Linked DNA regions of Oryctolagus cuniculus. The protein of the gene in region 2 purifies or fractionates together with the protein of the main gene of each other region. This does not show direct contact. Links are inferred from orthologs where the notes say so. Each region holds a gene or a part of one and is shown on either strand. Other genes may lie near its edges.

Evidence for each region.
Region 1: the proteins of MED19 (region 2) and POLR2D purify together in Homo sapiens (affinity purification with mass spectrometry; 4 studies listed by BioGRID and IntAct, with this or other methods). This does not show direct contact. The link is inferred for Oryctolagus cuniculus from reciprocal best matches to the Homo sapiens genes MED19 and POLR2D.

What each region holds. Positions count from the first base shown.
Region 1 is NC_091434.1:121,247,776-121,251,910, reverse strand, and holds the start of POLR2D (DNA-directed RNA polymerase II subunit RPB4), read right to left. Parts: upstream 2,835-4,135; 5' UTR 2,746-2,834; coding exon 2,673-2,745; intron 1-2,672. UniProt on the Homo sapiens protein: Core component of RNA polymerase II (Pol II), a DNA-dependent RNA polymerase which synthesizes mRNA precursors and many functional non-coding RNAs using the four ribonucleoside triphosphates as substrates.
Region 2 is NC_091432.1:14,445,509-14,449,599, reverse strand, and holds the end of MED19 (mediator of RNA polymerase II transcription subunit 19), read right to left. Parts: intron 2,172-4,091; coding exon 1,915-2,171; intron 1,776-1,914; coding exon 1,679-1,775; intron 1,109-1,678; coding exon 1,014-1,108; intron 882-1,013; coding exon 813-881; 3' UTR 501-812; downstream 1-500. UniProt on the Homo sapiens protein: Component of the Mediator complex, a coactivator involved in the regulated transcription of nearly all RNA polymerase II-dependent genes.

The DNA of each region.
Region 1 (4,135 bases), on a different chromosome or scaffold from region 2:
CCATATGGGGGCAGGTCTGAGTTCCAGCTGCTCCTGCTTCTGATCCAGCTCCCTGAGAATGGCCTGAGAAAAACAGCAGAGGATGGCCAAAGTCCTTGGGCCCCTGAACCCACATGGGAGACCTGGAAGAAGCTCCTGGCTTCAGACTGGCCCAGCTCCGGCCATTGCGGCCATCTGGGAAATAAACCAGTGGATGGAAGATCTCACACTCTAACTTTGCCTTTCAAATAAATAAATAAATTTTCATTAAAAAATAAATGGAAATCAAACAAAGTTAGAGAAGCCTCTGCTTCTGCACTAAGCCACATCTATTTGTGAATGCAATGGGATAGGGTTGGCACTTGCAGCACAGCAGACTAAGCCATTGCTTGGAGCCAGCATCCCAAATCAGACTGCCAGCTACTCCACTTCCAAGCCAGCTCCCTGCTAATGCACCTGGGTGATGGCTCAACTATTTGAATTCGTGCCACCCACACGGGAGACACGGATGGAGTTCTTGGCTCCTGGCTTTAGCCTGGCCCAGCTCTGGCTGTTGCAGCCATCTGGGGGAGGACAGGGAACACAAGATGTCTCTCCTGTCTCTGTCACTCTGCTTTTCAAATAAATTAATTTTTTTAAAGATTTTTATTTTAATTGAAAGTCAGAGTTACACAGAGAGAAGAGAGGCAGAGAGAGAAGAGAGAGAGAGAGGTCTTCCATCCGCTGGTTCACTCCCCAGATGGCTGCAACAGCCGGAGCTGTGCCGATCCAAAGCCAAGAACCAGGAGCTTCTCCCCGGTCTCCCACATGGGCACAGGGCACAAGGACCTGGGCCATGTTTTCCCACTGTTTTCCCAGGCCATAGCAGAGAGCTGGATGGAATGTGGAGAAGCCAGGTCTCGAACCGGCGCCCATATGGGATGCCGATGCTTCAGGCCAGGGCATTAACCCACTGCCCCACAGCGCCAGCTCCCAAATAAATTAATTTAACAACAAAAGTAATGGGAATGGAATGTCAGGACAGCAGAGACTAGTCATTCATTCCCATTCCTCACTAAGGCAATGCCCAAGTACTACTTACACACTACCCTCACTTTCTTCAGTCAAGGAAAGGGCATGTGTTTGCCCTAGCAGGGAAGATGCCTTCATCCCACATGAGCACACCTGGACCTGGGTTCAGGTTCCAGCTGCAGATTTATAACTTCCTGCTAACGCAGACCCTGGGAGGCAGAACTGATGGTTCAAGCAGTTGGGTCCCTCCCGCCCATGTGGGAGACCTTTATTGCAGTCCCAGCTCTTGGTGACCCAGCCCAGCTCTGCCACTGTGGGCATCTGGGGAACCAATCAGTGGATGGCAGCTGTCTCTCTGCCTTTCCACAACATACACCCCACCCCACCCCCCCAAACAAAAGAAAAGAGAAAGAAAAAGCCAAACTGGCTGATTGGAGTGGCTTAGGCAAAGAGTGTGTGATACCACCAAGCCCCTGAGAAACATTTCCAGGATTCTACTTCAACAGACTGGCCCCCTGCCATCCACGTGGGAGACCAGATAGGGTTCCTGGTTCCTGGCTTCAACCTGACCCAGCCCCAGCCATGATGACCTTCTGGGGAGTGAACCAGTGGATGAAAGAGCGATTCTGATCTCTCTCTCTCCCTCCTGCTCTCATTCTCACTCTGTCAAGTAAACAAATAAATCTAAAAAAAGAAAACACTATGGAGAGGAAGGCTTCAATATTTCTCCCTAAGGCTAAACTCATTATTTTCTAGGTGAAATCAGGGACCTACATGTTGCCCCAGTGCAGCTATTTTAAAAATGGCGGTCACAAATAACTTAAAATGATTCTTTGGTCAGTAAGTCACCTGGAAATTCTCTTGAGGTTCCTGCACTACAGTCATTAATGGTTTACGAGTGGCTTGTTTAAGTGGTCTTTTTTTTTTTTTTTTAATTTATTTGACAGATAAGAGTGAGACAGAGTGAGAGAGAGAGAAAGGTCTTCCTTCCGTTGGTTCACCCCCTAAATGGCTGCCACGGCTGGAGCTGCGCCGACCGAAGCCAGGTGCTTCTTCCTGGTGTCCGACGCGGGTGCAGGGCCCAATCACCTGGGCCATCCTCCACTGCCTTCCCGGGCCACAGCAGAGAGCTGAACTGGAAGAGGAGCAACCGAGACTAGAACCCAGTGCCCATATGGATGCCGGCGCCGCAGCAGAGGATTAACCAAGTGAGCCACGGCGCAGCCCCTTGAGTGGTCTTCTTACACCATACATTTTTCTCTCTAGTACAAAACGAAGGTACCGTGGTTCAGATGCTACTTTGGGAAACCCAAGTCCCGTGCAGCATCCAATATTGGATTTGGTTCTGGCTCCACTGCTGATTCCAGCTTCCTGCTGGTATGCACCCTGCGAGGCAGCAGATGGCAGTCTGTTCCCGGGTAAAAGACACTAGTGCACCTAACACAGGCAGCAGGAGGCCCGGCAGGGGCAAATGCCAGTGGGCGCCGAGCATTCCAGGGATGGGAGCGTGGAAGCCGCGACGCCAGGGTCCGCCGGTGCCCGACCAGGATCCTTCCAGGGCCAGGGTCCCCCTTCCCCCAGCTCCACGCCGCGCCGGGATGGACCCCGGCCGTCCGCTGAGGCCAGGAATTCAGCGAGAAGCGACCGATGATTAGAGATAGCCCCGCATCACCTCACCTCACCTTTGGGAAAGATGAGCTGTGAAGCGTCCTCCTCGACGTCGCCAGCCCGCGGATCAACGCCACCGGCCGCCATAGCTGTCTCGCGCGCCGCCACAGACAGCACCGGAAGCGGAAGCGCCGAGCCGCGAGCCGCTAGCCTGGCCACGATGGGGCGGGACCCGGGGCGGGGCTAGGAGATGGGGCGGGGCGGGGCGGGGCCCCGGAAGAAGCGGCCCTGGCTCTGCTTTGGTTTTCCGCGGGGTTACTGGGTCTTTCTGGACCGAGAAAAGGTGGAATGCGCTGGCACGCTAAGGGACTACTCATGCAGGGACTGGCGGGTCATGGAAAGCTGGGCAGATGACCCCGAAAGCCTACGGTAGGATTTCTTCCAATGATGTTAGCAGTCAAACATTTGACTGCCTTGCAGTGAATTATCTACTCTTTTTGAGAGTGTGGACAGTGATGTCCAGAGGCCTTTAACCCACCTATGGGGACATTAGGATGGTTCCTGGAAAATTATGCCAATGAGAGACCATGCTTTTGTGGGCTTTTTTTTTTTTTTTTTTTTTTTTTTTTGACAGGCAGAGTGGACAGTGAGAGAGAGAGAGAGAAAGGTCTTCCTTCCGTTGGTTCACCCCATTTATGGCCGCTACGGCTGGAGTTGATCCGAAGCCAGGAGCCAGGTGCCAGCAGAGAGCTGGGCAGAGAGGGGCAGCCGGGACAGAATCCGGTGCCCTGACCGGGACTAGAACCCGGGGTGCCGGCGCTGCAAGGCGGAGGATTAGCCTAGTGAGCCGCGGCGCCGGCCCGTTTTGTGTTTTATGAATTTATTTTATCTGGCCCCCCGGGTTCTCCTCTTCCAGGCCAGCCCTCTGCTGTGGCCAGGGAGTGCAGTGGAGGATGGCCCAAGTGCTTGGGCCCTGCACCCGCATGGCAGACCAGGAGAGGCACCTGGCTCCTGGCTTCGGATCAGCGCGATGCGCTGGCCATAGCACGCCGGCCGTGGCGGCCATTGGAGGGTGAACCAACGGTAAAAAGGAAGAACTTTCTCTCTGTCTCTCTCACTCTCACTGTCCACTCTGCCTGTCAAAAAAAAAAAAAAAAAAAAAAGAAGAATTTATTTTATCTAGTTATGGTATCTTTATTATGAATTCATTTTTTTTTTAAGATTTATTTGAGGGGCCGTTGCTGTGGTGTAGCGGGTAGGGCCGCCGCCTGTTTGAGTCTCAGCCGATCTACTTCCAATCCAGCTCTCTGCTATGGCCTGGGAAAGAAGTAGAAGATGGCCCAAGTCTCTCTCTGCCTCTCCTTCTCTCTGTGTGTAACTCTGTTTCTCTCTGTATTACTTTAAAAAAAATTATTTATTCAAAAGGCAGAGATACAGAGAGAGAGAGCTCATCCATCCACTGGATCACTCCCCAGATGGCCACAACAGCTGGAGCTGCACCAATCTGAAGCCAGGAGCTTCTTCCGGGTCTCCCCCG
Region 2 (4,091 bases):
TTTTTGCTGTCTTGGGAGCTTATCAGCCAAACTGTGTTATCTAAGGAATGAGGCAGGCCAAAGGATTTTATAAAGATAAAAGAAACATTTACCTTTGCTTGCCAGAGGTTCATTTCAAAACATTATAGTTTTCTGACCAAAGAGTCAATCTGGTTGAAGTATACTAAAGAAGATGGTGATTGTAGGTGCTTTTTCAGTTGACTATTCTGTTTCAACCCAAACTTGACCTAGAATCTGTTGAGGTTTAAATGGATCAGCTCTTCAGAGTGGAGCCTGAAGACCATCCAGGCACTTTGTTCCTGACATTATGGGGAGAGTATAATGAAGCTGTGCCTCTTTTGGACCATGTTTCTCAGTCATTTTGGTTGTTTCCCTGCCTGCCAATGAGATAATGCAAGGACGACTCAAATCCCCTTAAAGCTTAGGAATGACTTGTCTTAACCACTGACTTCCATAGAAAGGCACTTACCTCCCTTAACAGACAGCCACACTTGAGCCAGTTTGATAAATGCAGGTATTTTTTTTTTTAAAGAAAAACTTAACAGGTCAAGTTCTGATATTAAACAAATTGCACAAAACAGAAGAAATAGCTTCCTGGGAGAGGAAGAGATGTCCATGAGAAAGCCAACTAGGCTGAGCCTTATAAAAGGATGGCCCTTCCCTCTTCTAATGTATTCATCGCAACCAAGCAGAGCAGGAGTTGGCCTCTGCCTTGGCTGCTGGGTATTCCCAAGGCATTGGCCAAGAGCCGGGAAGGCAGCTTCTGTTAGAAGTTCAGTAGGAAAAGCCATCCTGGTAGAGTCCAGTGGTTGTCAGCGAAGGCTGCTGCTGCTGCTGGCCTGAGAGCTGCCCATACCCGGGTGGTCTGGACTGTGTCGGCTCTGGAGAAGATAAAGGAGGAGGGTAAGAACAACTAGCAACTTGCCCTGAGTTTTCACTCTTGGGTCCAGTTTGAGGCAAAGGACAGGGTGAGATATGGGGAAAAGGGCTGCAGCAACAGGCTCTACCCCTACCTTCTTTTTCTTCTTCTCTTTCTTCTTCCTTTTCCGGTCAGGATCCTCTTCTTTTTTCTTTTTCTTCTTCTTATGATCCGAATCAGATGGTGTTTCTGTAGGAAGCATTAGGGCCTGTTACCTATAATGCTCAAAATTCTCTACTTTGTGAATTTGGAAGACTACAGGACACCAAATTGGGCAAATTTTTTTTTTCTTTTTAGATTTTTAAAAGTTTATTGAAAGGCAAAGTTAGAGAGAAACAGCTCTTCCATCTGCTAGTTCACTCCCCAAACAGCCACAATGGCCAGGACTGGGCCAGGGCAAAGCCAGCCCAGAGTGTCTTCCGGGTCTCCCACACGAGTGCAGAGGCCCAAGGACTTGGCCATCTTCCACGGCCTTCCCAGATGCACTAGCAGGGAGCTGGATAGGTAGTGGAGGAGCCAGGTCTCAGCCCAGTGCCCATATGGGGTGCTGGCATCACAGGCAGGTGCCCAACTGTGTTTCTCTAAATGGCTCTGCTGCCAGAACCCCTGTCCTAAGTCCCTACTTGCCAAAGAGATCAAAGTACATTGTGGAAACTTGGGCATCCAGGGCTGTGTGAGGAATTCACTGGGTTCAACTGTGCAAAGTTGCACCAAATTCAGAAGGTCAGGTTTTCTTGTTTTAACAGGGCTGCTGCTTACCTGGGGGGACAGGATCCTGGGTCCGACTCTGTTTGTGCTTGTGCTTCTTGTTCTTCTTGGGAGGCTGAATATGCATCAGGCGACACTGTTCTGGCAACTGAAGGAAGCAAAGGAAGGTCTGGGTGAGTGGAGAAGGAAATCCTTTGCTCAGTAAGGTACAAGGGAGCAGATGTGGAGAGAGAAAACTCCCTGCCCTCGGCTTCCCCATTTGCTGCCTCTCTCAAGAGGGCACTCACCGGGCCGGTGTGGAGGCGGAAGCCAGCCAGCATGGTCCCTGTGATGGGATTGAAAGAGCCACCAAGAATAGGGGGCTTCTCGATAAGGGAGCGGAGGCTGCTGTTGTCGTGAGAGCCGGGAAGATCGATCATCCCCGGCAGGTCGGGCAGGAAGTTGCTTAGCTTCTCCTTCACCTTCTTGCCACAGAATTTGTTATAGGCTTGTTCCAGGTTGTAGTGTGTGATGAGATTGGTGCTGCCTGTCAGCTCCGTGCTGCCTAGAGAACACAGAGAAACATTAGTCCTAAAAGAGGAGTTTACAGTCACTGACCCAGAAGAAAAGTAAAGGACTATACGAACTGTGACCCAAATAAGGATGCTTTTAAGTGAGAATCATGAAATGTTGAGCTTATATTTTTTTCTCAACCAGAAGAACTGCTGATTTCATTTCCAGACTGCACTTCCCTCAAGAACAACCATTCTCATGATTTTTACCACTTTTCCCAGTTTTGACTTTGACAGAAAAAGCTTATGTTTAAGAAACAGCAAAAGTAAACAGTAACATATAAACACTAGAAGTGCAGTACTACAGAACAACAGGCACGGGAAGGAGAAAGGGCAGAAACCTAAACAGGGCAGACATGGAGGCATTCTGCTCTTCTTGGATGAGCCAGAATGATAATTTACATGGCCTGCATGCTCAACACTGTTCTCTGCTTTTCATAAAGTGTAAGTGAGAAATACTCTCTGATGTTGTGACCAGGAGAGGCCCTCACAGGTCAGCTGGGACCACAGCAAGGGCCATCTGACTCTCTGACTCAGGGGATTGAGGGTCTTTGTCAAGAACTTTGCTTTTCTTTTTTTTTTTTTTTTGGACAGGCAGTTAGTGAGAGAGAGAGAGAGAGAGACAAAGGTCTTCCTTTCCCATTGGTTCACCCCCCCAAATGGCTGCTACGGCCAGCATGCTGCGCTGATTTGAAGCCCAGAGCCAGGTGCTTCCTCTGGGTCTCCCATGTGGGTGCAGGGCCCAAGCACTTGGGCCATCCTCCACTGCCCTCCCAGGCCACAGCAGAGAGCTGGACTGGAAGAGGAGCAACCAGGACTAGAATCCGGTGCCCCAACTGGGACTAGAACCCTGTGCGCCGGCGCCGCAGGCGGAGGATTAGCCAAGTGAGCAGTGGCGCTGGCCTTTTTTTTTTTTTTTTTTAAAGATTTATTTTGGGGTCACCGCCTGCAGTGCCATCATCCCATATCGGCACTGGTTCGAGTCCCAGCTGCTCCACTTCCAATCCAGTGCTTTTCTAGGGCCTGGGAAAGCAGTGGAAGATGGCTCAAATCCTTGGGCCCCTGCACTTGTGTGGTAGACCTGGAAGCTCCTGGCTCCTGATCAGCGGAGCTCTGACTGTTGCAGGCACTTGGGGAGTGAGCCAGTAGATGATGGAAGACCTCTCTCTCTCTCTCTGCCTCTCCTTCGCTCTTTGTGTAACTCTTTAAAATCTTATTTGAAAAGATGGAATTGCAGAGAGAGGTCTTCCTTCAGCTGATTCACTCCCTAAATGGCCGCAATGGCAGGAGTTGAGCTGATCCAAAGCCAGGAGCTTCCACTGGTTCTCCCACATGGGGCAGGGGCCCAAGGAGCTGGGCCATTTCCCACTGCTTTCCCAGGCCATGGCAGAGAGCTGGATCAGAAGTGGAACAGCCAAGACTTGAACGGGCACCCTTATGGGATGCCAGCACTGCAGGTGGTAGCTTTACCCACTATGCCACAGTGTCAGCCCCTGTTTTTTCTCTTTAACAATCAAAAAACACTCATCATAGTTATATAGAAAAACAGCAAGGAGATTTTTCTAGCTACTGTTGCTTAACTTTGGTTACCAACATCTTTATTCTCCCTAATGTTACTGAGTATAATGCTTTGCAGACAAAGAAGAAATCTGTAGTTAGAAATTGGCTGGACAACTAGAATTCTAGTGCTGTTCTCCATGCCTTAGTTTCTTGTTATCTGTGGAATGCAATAATAGCTATCTTAAGTAAACTTCATTTTTTTTTCAAGATTTAAATGAAAACATACTGAAAAGTATAAATAATCTAAATTTATGGTAAGGGTGAAAATATCTAACCCACAACTTCATCTGTAATTATGATGGACACCCAGGGTACCATGAGCAAAATGATAACTGGGAAAACTCGGGCTCTGA